2 linked regions of the Sus scrofa genome follow. The protein of the gene in region 2 interacts with the protein of the main gene of each other region in a pairwise test. Links are inferred from orthologs where the notes say so. Each region holds a gene or a part of one and is shown on either strand. Other genes may lie near its edges.

What was found.
Region 1: the proteins of MAGED1 (region 2) and SMAP2 interact in binary tests that used the Homo sapiens proteins (3 or more experiments, as listed by UniProt). The two-hybrid records come from large-scale screens. The link is inferred for Sus scrofa from reciprocal best matches to the Homo sapiens genes MAGED1 and SMAP2.

What each region holds. Positions count from the first base shown.
Region 1 is NC_010448.4:170,760,797-170,765,301, forward strand, and holds the start of SMAP2 (stromal membrane-associated protein 2), read right to left. Parts: upstream 3,001-4,505; 5' UTR 2,581-3,000; coding exon 2,478-2,580; intron 1-2,477.
Region 2 is NC_010461.5:45,325,514-45,330,059, reverse strand, and holds the end of MAGED1 (melanoma-associated antigen D1), read right to left. Parts: coding exon 4,028-4,546; intron 3,919-4,027; coding exon 3,855-3,918; coding exon of another isoform or gene 3,657-3,854; coding exon 3,577-3,656; intron 3,372-3,576; coding exon 3,280-3,371; intron 3,057-3,279; coding exon 2,977-3,056; intron 2,886-2,976; coding exon 2,843-2,885; intron 2,572-2,842; coding exon 2,509-2,571; intron 1,931-2,508; coding exon 1,816-1,930; intron 1,578-1,815; coding exon 1,200-1,577; 3' UTR 1,192-1,199; intron 987-1,191; 3' UTR 778-986; downstream 1-777. UniProt on the Homo sapiens protein: Involved in the apoptotic response after nerve growth factor (NGF) binding in neuronal cells. Inhibits cell cycle progression, and facilitates NGFR-mediated apoptosis. May act as a regulator of the function of DLX family members.

The sequences.
Region 1 (4,505 bases), on a different chromosome or scaffold from region 2:
CATACATACTTAAATCCACATCTTAGCCTACAATTTTAAAATTCCTCCTCCCACTAAATGTATTTTTTACATGCTAGCAGGTAACTTAATCTGCAGGTGCAAGGGTCTCTCCCTTCCAAGATCCGATAAGTTGTCCACATGATCATGACAACAATCAAAATTAGGAAAAAGGAGTGGAAAATGAAGGAGAGGCCTTGAAAGAGTGGAAGGGGCCTGATTAACTCACAGATTAATAAACTGAGGCCAGAACAAACTTTTTTTTTTTTTTTTTTTTTTTTGCCTTTTCTTGAGCATATGGAGGTTCCCAGGCTAGGGATCTAATCGGAGCTGTAGCCACCGGCCTACGCCAGAGCCACAGCAACGTGGGATCCGAGCTGGTCTGTGACCCACACCACAGCTCATGGCAACGCTGGATCCTCAACCCACTGAGTAAGGCCAGGGATCGAACCTGAAACCTCATGGTTCCTAGTCAGATTCGTTAACCACTGTGCCACGACGGGAACTCCGAGAACAAATACCTTATTTAACTGAACTGAAAGACAACTGATGGACACACTGTCATCTCATTTTTAATACAATGGCCAAAGTCACTGAAGCCACCAAGCCAAAAGGTAAAACTAATTTGTGAAGAGAAATTGTTTCAGGAACCAGGATTCTATTGCCAAGAGCCGTTAATAAAGTTTACAAGCCAGCAGTCACTAGCTCTCATTAAGATTTAATTTACTAATGTTTCATTACCTGATCCCCAGTAATTCTGTTGATAAAGAGCAATGGAAAATTTGGAGGAAGAACTGATGAATCAACCTCTCTCCCATGTGCTATGTTTTATTGGAATATGAGTAAGATAAGAGTGGTATGCAAAACGGGGCTGCAGTGGCACAAAGCATCAAAATGGCATCTGACTCCCCTAATGTAGCAATGCTCTCTCCAGTGGGTTGTTTCACTGTGACTCAAGATCTGTCAACTGAGGACACAAGGGAATTTGAGTAAAGCCAAGAGATATACTCCTAAATTTTAAACCAAATCTTTCACTAGATCTAGCACAAGATCTCACAAGAGTCCACGAGAGACAAAATGAACCTACTTAACATAAACTGATTCCAAAACTCTTTTAAAAATGAATTCTTGCCAATGAATTTAGGAAAGAAGTCTGGGGACCTGCTTTCCTAATGGCACATGCCATTTGTCTATGGGGAAAGGGCACTAAAATATACTATAAAGCGTCCTGATCAATGTCTCTCTCCCCGATCTCCTTACATAACCTATTTCTCTAAAATGAAAGGTAATTAAGTGAAAGCATCAATTAAGCATGTACTTCCTTTCTCAATGTTGATAAATACAAATACATCTGAATCTTTGTTCTGCACTATATGTCCAACATGCTACATGGCAAACAACCCAGGCAAATCCACTGCATTACAAACAAAAGTAAATTAATATAGCTCCCAAAATGCATCCCTTTCTACTCAAACCAAAAGGAAAAGAATCTTCCCAACTCCAATTATATTCCAAAGAATTCGGAAAGAAAATGAGGAAACAAAATATTTATCGTCTATAAATTGAGTGTAAACATTTCACGAATAACCAAGCTTTCCTAGCATACTGATTTGTAATTGTATCAAATCCTGAATCTTTGAGGGCACAGAAAACAAAGACTAAATGGCTCTGACAATCTACAATGATCACATTTCCCCTTAGAAGGGTGGCTGCCCTGGAAGCAACAAATTCGAAGCATGCTTTGCTTCCTTCTCAGCACTGATTAAACCGATCCTGCACTACAGCCACAATCTGCTAGTTTCTGCCACCACACGCACATCAGGCCTCCAACACACTGCACAAGCCAGGGCTAGGCTGTCTAGAAATCCGCACTGTGTCACTGCACAAGGCAGTTTCCCCTCCACACATCCAGAAAGAGGAAAGCCACCTAAGCACTGTCAGATCTCAGCAAGGCTGTAAACTGACGGAAGGAGCTGCTAACCAAATAGCAGTCAGCAACCCTCACCTCCTTAAAATCATTTAAGCAGTTTTTCTCACCGTCATCTCCCTTCCCTCCTCCCCCTTCCTCCCCTCTCTCTCGCGCTCTCTCTCGCACACACACACACACACACACACCGCACACACCACTCACTGCAGTTCATCCCCAGCTTTGCAAGCAGAAGGCTGTGAACTCCCGGCTGCCTCTGGACTGACAGTCGGCCCAGAACTCACTCACAGCCCTGAAATACAGACATTCTCACCTGCACACACCACGCCACTTCCACCCCCACCATCACCGCCCCCCACAGTCGCCCTCGCAACCTCTCCCCACACCAATGCCTGCGCTGCAGAACACCTAGAAGCCTCTTCAGCAAGGCTAGCACGCGTTACCATTTAGAGGATCGGGGCCACCTAAGCTCCAGAGACCTCTTCCCACCCAGTCCGCCTCCCCGGTTCCGCCCGGAGGCTGGACCCCTCGCCCGCCGGGAGGGATGCTCTACCTTTAGACTGGCAGTCCGCACAAAACTTGTTATCCTCCTCCAGCAGCAGGTTGGCCAGAACCGCCTGATACCGATCCACGTCCTTCACCGATTTGCCCGTCATGGCCAGGGTGCCGGCGGGGGCAGAGGGCGACGCGCCCTCCGAGCCCCCCAGAAACCCTTGCCTCAGTCCGGAGGTGAGGACTCCCGGTCCCCGCCCAGGGGCACCTCCTGAGCGGGGGAGAGCCCTCTCCCCTGGCCCGGCCTGGCGCCCCTTCTCCCCTCAGCCGCGCCCGACCCCCGCTCTGCAGCCCCTCAAGGCGGCGCCCCCTGGCGGGCTTAGGGAAAGGCTCGGGTCCCGACCGGGCTGCGGGACCAGACAGGAACCCTCACGCCAGGCAAGGGGGGCTCTCGGGTTTCCTGAGTGCCGGGCGCAGAGACTACCCCCCGGCCTGCCTGTCCGCGGGCAGAGTCCAGCGCCTCGGTTTCCCTGGCAGCTGCCGCCTGCTCGGGCACCACCTCCGCCGCCTACTTCCGGCAGCTCTTCCTCTCCTCCTCCACCCGGCTCAGCCCGCGCATGCGCCCCGCCCCCACCGCTTCGGACTGGGCGCTTCCCTCCTCTCCGCCTCTCAGGAACCAATCCGGGCAGAAGGGAGGGGCGGGGCTTGGGTTGGGCGGAGGGAGGAATGGCCACGCCCCTTGCATGTCCTTGGAAAAGAATGAATGGAGCCGGCGGAAAGGGAGTGGAGGGATTGGAAGAAAGTGAGGAAAACAGCAATTAACGTTTGCTGAGCTCTTACTATGTGCCAGGCGCTGTGCTAAGCGCTTTATATGAATTATCCCAATATAATCCTCAAAAACTCTCTACGAGTTAAATATTTGCCGTCCTTACGTAACCTGGGAGATGTGAAATACTCCAAAGTCCCCCAGGTAATTCTTTACTTCAACAGCCAAAAAGAAGGGCCCAAGGTTCTAACCCAGGGTAAGCGACATGACAACCACCCCAAATGTTCAGAGGATTCTGGTCCCCTCTCACTTGGAATGCCTGCTCCTTTTGAATTCTGGGTCCCCCGGTTCATTAGCGCTCCTCTTGTGATGACCAACATCTTTAGACATCGTTTCGCACGTCGCCTAGACATTTTCTGGTTTCATTCCTAAATCCTCCCCAAATAGTGCAGTTTTGTGCAGCAGACCTTTGCTGAAGGTTATTTGGGGAGGCGGGGTGGAGAGGAGGGGTGATGACAGTAAAACACGGAATAAGTAAACACTTTGAAATGATCATTCAACCTCATTGTCCAAAGCCACCCTTACTAGGTAGTGTTAGTAAGTACAGAATTTTTCCATGGCTGTCCTTTTCTTTAGGGATCCTCCAGCCCTCTAGCAAATGTTCTCATTCACTCATTCACTTAGCAGATTGTCACTGAGAAACTTTCTGTGTGTGCATGTGTGTGTCTTTTTAGGGCTGCACCCACAGCATATAGAGCTTCCCAGGCTAGGGGTCAAATCGGAGCTGTAGCCACCGGCCTACACCACAGCCACAGCAAAGCCAGAGAGAAGCTGCATCTGCGACCCGCACCACAGCTCACAGCAATGCTGGATCCTTAACCCACTGAGTGAGGCCAGGGGTCGAACCCACCTCCTTATGGACACTAGTCAGATTTGTTTCTCCTGAGCCAGGCTGGGAACTCCCTGAGAAACTTCTAGGTAGCTGGTAATGTACTAGGGGAGAGGGAACAACGTGATTCAGTTAGAGGTTTTGAAAGGTCACTTCGGGAGTTCCCTTGGTGGCCTAGAGATTAAGGACCCAGCATTGTCACTGCTGTGGCGAAGGTTCGATCCCTGTCCTGAGAGCTTCCACAAGCCACAGGCACAGCTGGGGAGAAAAAAATCCACTCTGGGTGCTGGGGGAAGAATGGATCAGGGAAGCTGGTAGGACCAGATGCTCAGGGCTCTCATCTCTAGTGACAACTCTCATCTTTTTACTTCCTCCCAACAACAGGATGCCCTCAAAACTTTCATCAGAGAAAAACTAAAATTTTCTGTTACTTT
Region 2 (4,546 bases):
TGGAGCTTTGTCTTCCTTCCTCAATTCTTGTTCCCTAAGTAGCAAAGGTTCCTCTTTCTCTCTGCAGGAGGGGAGAAGCAGCCACTTTGTGACCTCCTTCACTGTGCATACCACCTTGTCTTTGTGATACCACTCTGTTCCTACATGGGGGTGAGGAATTCTGAAGATTTTCTAGAGGCAGGTTCCTGGACAGCATTTCCAGACATGGGGGGGGGGCGCAGTGGGCCTGCAGTTTGTGGGCAATGTGATGAGGGGTATGAGATCTTCCATCTCACACAGGAAACTTAGGAACCATGTTCACAGTGTTCTCTGTTCCTATTTCTGCCCCCATCTTGGAGTTATTCACTTTCCACATGGATAATACAACCAACACCCTGGAGTCCCCAGAACATTATCTCCGGGAACAGTCATCTTCCCTTCCCTTCAGCCACCCACTCTTTGAACTTTATTATTACCTGGAGTTCTGCCTCTTCTGTCTTCTTAAATGCAACTGTCTGACCACCTACACCCTCTCTCATTATTTCATCTTTCAATGTCACTCCAAAGCACCTAGCAGAGTATCTATCACATATGAGTCACTTACATGATATTTATTAAATAAGCCATACTTTTTCTTGGATCTCATTAGCATTCATGTTCGTCAAGCCCTTGTTTCCCAATCCATTAGCCAGAAAACTAATCTGCCTCTGTGTTAGGCTAGAACTGAGGCCCCGTCTCTCCCATATAAACAAGTTGATCTCTCCCTAAACACAGAAAAAAACAGGGAACACATCTAACTCACTTTGCAGTTTCAACGTTTATTTCTGATACCAAAACCTGACAGCACACAAGGGGGAAAAAAGCAATAGACAAGGAACAGCAAATAAATTTATCTTGCATGCCACTTTCAGTCAACAGGATGTGGCTCTCTAGATAGCTGTGTTTAGAAGGATTCTGAGGCTTCAGCCTCACTCAGGGGAAAGACTGTTGCAACTGATTAGCAATACCTGTGAACATAAAAAAGAAAGAAAATTAAAAATCAATGCTATATACCAAATAAGGAACAAAAATACCAAATGGTGCTTCCCCATACCTTCCTCATCTCCCCACCATGGGTTTCCTAGGACTCCCAGCTAGAGCACATAAATACATTCCCATGGACTCTACATCCCCAATGACCCTAAATGCCCAATTCCAAAGTGATATACCTACCCAACATCTCACTCAACCCAGAAGAAACCAATGGCACCAAAGTTGGCAGCAAAGTTGGCACTGGCTGTACCACCAGGGCCAATAATGGGGCCAGCGAAGGTCTGAGGAAATCTGGAGCGAGCATTCTGGTGGTATCTGGCCCAGAAGGTAAATGGGATTCTGGACCAGGGATCTCCAAAATCTCCTTCCTCATCCCAGGTCAGCAGCTCAAATTCAATGTCATCCCAGCTCCAGGGCCCAGATACGGCCTCATCTCCAATCCCCATGCGGGTTCTCGCCTCAGCCCGGGCCTCTGCCTCAGCTGCAGCAGCATCCAGAGCATCTAAGGCCTCATCTGCAGCCTCCATGAACTGTGCAGTCCAGTCACGAGGGTCTCTCTTCTGAACCTGAGATAAGGAATAGAAAATAAAACCAAGAATAGTATTCATTAATATTTATGAAGCACCTGCTATATATTTAACGCCCTACGTTGTGCTACTGTTTGCACAGTAACAACAACAAATGCCACCAATGATGTGGCACCTACATGTGCGATACCTAAGATCTCATTCCTGCTCTGGACTTTTCCCAGCCAGTCATACTTCATCCCTTGACCTAGCAAGTCTGGAGCAGTTCCTCTATTACCTCTGCAATGAATCTCAGCACTTTCATCTTGCTAGTCTCATGGTAGGAACGGAGGCCCCAGAGGAACTCATACTCAGGAGGGTTGCTGTTGGGCACTCGTCTGTAGTCTAGGTACCTTAGAAAGAGCAGAAAGGCCTTTGTTTCTACCCAAGCAGAATGATAGTCCATCAGTGCATAATAATGCTAGATTCTGACACCCCAGATTTCAGGTACAACTCCCCCCAGTCTCATTCCTGAACAGATTGTTTACCCTCTAATAATCAGGCCTTCACGTTCCTGTGCCAGTGCTTTTACACCCAGCAATCACCCAGGGCTGGAGGGTGACTGGCGTAGGGTCATAGAAAGGACAGCACTTAATTTCACCCCCTTTGTCACAACAGCTCTAGCTCCAGGGTCTTGTAATTTTGTCATTGAGCCACAAATAGGCCCACTGCAAAAGCCTCAGCCAAGCCCAGCCTTGGAAATACCTACTGTGGGCATGGTGGACAGGCTCCACTTGCAAGATAACTATACTGCAGAAAAGTTCAACTATAAGGAGTATACTCAATAAATACTCCTGAGTACACATGTGTGTCTGTATGCCTGTGTATAGGTATAAGTGAGTGTAAGAAATGAGCATAAGAGGGGCTTTCTGAGGCTGACCAGCACACAGAACTCATGAGGACCACACAAAGTCGCTTAGGCATCACTTACTTTTGCTTTACAAACTCGTAAGTGAGAAGTTTCCTCAGATCACCAAGGAGGGGATGTCTCACCCTGAAAAAAAAAAAAAAAAAAAAAAAGAACTCATAATCAGAGACTATGATATTGCCCAAAGAAAAGCAAAGCGTTTTCTAACACAGAGGTCACAGGCAAGAGAAGAGGCAGAGAGGTCAGAACTATTTCCCGTTCACCCAGGTCACATCGTTGGGCTCTGTACCTCCCCAAACCAATTCCCCTAGACCGCCAGGCTGATGCAATCCTGGGACCATCCTCTGTTACCAAAGGATGATATAAACAGGCAAGAGATGAGAGAGCCCAGTCATACCCAGGACGCAGTCCCATCTTGCGTAGTGCCTCCCAGAGGACAGCTGCAATGGGAGGCAAGGGGAGACAAGGGACGGAAAATGAGCATGGAAATCAGGCGGTAGCCAACCCCCAGTTGCTTGTCCAGCCACTCACCTTCACTGGCACGGTTGCCATTCATGAAGATGACACCCAAAATCACTAAGAGGAGACCCAGCTTGGGTGTGTCTTTGGTCCTAAAGGAGCACAAAAACAATACATTTTCAACAGCCATATGAATGCGACGCCCCAGGCAACTCACCCCTCTCACTTCCCTAGTTAGGCTAGGAGAGAATTCTATCCCAGTTCTGCACATGACCCTGTTATGTGACCTTGAATCCTGGACCTTGACCTACTTGAAACTCCCAGGAAAAAAGCACCCCTGAGAAAGGCCATGTTCCACCTCCCTTCCCATCTTACGTTCCCAGTATGCCAGCCAGGGACTCGGGGGTACTGATGAGAATATACAGGTGTTCTTCTTTGTCAATTTCCTTCAGTTGAATTCCAAATTTCTACAGGGACCAAAAAAAAAATCAGACTATGAAATTACAAAATCTAGCATAAGCTACCCATATTCAGTCACTCCCCTCCCTGTGACACTCACCCTAAATTCCCAGTAGGGATCCTATGAAATCTTTGAAATCGAGACTTTCCCATAATATCTATTTTTAAAAAAACCTTCCCCATCATTCCTGTCCTTCAGGGCTGCCTTCTCACCTTCTCTAGGACAAAACATGCGCGTTCAATGATTTCTGGATACACATCAGTGTATTCACGGATGATATCCCTCAGCATTTCTGCAGGAGAGAGGAGGGAGCACCTGAGCTGAGGCCACAGAACTACAACCTCTTTGCCAGCCCTGCTGAGGGGAGCAATGTCCTCAAGGGTGGAAAAGGAAGACTCAATTGCAGAAGGAGGGGACTGAAGGGGAAGGGACATGAGCAAAGAAATGGCCACACAGGGCAGAGCTCTGGGAGAGGGCACTGGATGCCCACCTGAGCGCTTGATGGGCACCTTTGTGTAATCTTTAAGCATCAGGTACTTGACCAACTTGTTCGCCTGAGAAGGAAAAAAGAAAGCATTAAAGTTATAAGCGATTTACAGGCCACTTGACAAGAGGGAAAAGAGCAAGAGGGAGAGGGAAAGTGACTGCAGTTACAATTCTTACTCTTTCCTGAAGAAGGGCCACATCTCGGGGCTGTGAGGCACCCAGGTTCTGTGAGGCACGCGAGTTGGGAGAGGGGCGCAGGTTCGGTGAGGGGCGCAGGTTCTGCCAGTCAGGTGGAACTGGCCAATCAGTGGGAATCCAGTCAGGTGGGAGCGGCCAGTCAGTGGGAAGTGGCCAATCAGGTGGCAGTGGCCAGTCGGGGGGCAGTGGCCAGTCAGGAGGGCCTTGCCAATCTGGAGGACCCTGCCAGCCTGGTGGAGTCTGCCATCCAGGTGGGGTCTGCCATCCAGGTGGATTTTGCCAGGCCAGTGGGTTCGGCCAGACAACTGGACCAGGCCAGACAATGGGGTTTGGCCAGATCACAGGATTCTGCCAGATCACTGGGTTTGGCCAGATCACTGGGTTCTGCCAAGCAACTGGGTTTTGCCAGGCTGGTGGGGTCTGCCTAGCTGGGGGGCTCTGTCGTGCTGGTGGGGTCTGCCTGGCTGGCTGATTTTGCCAGCCTGATGGGTTCTGCCA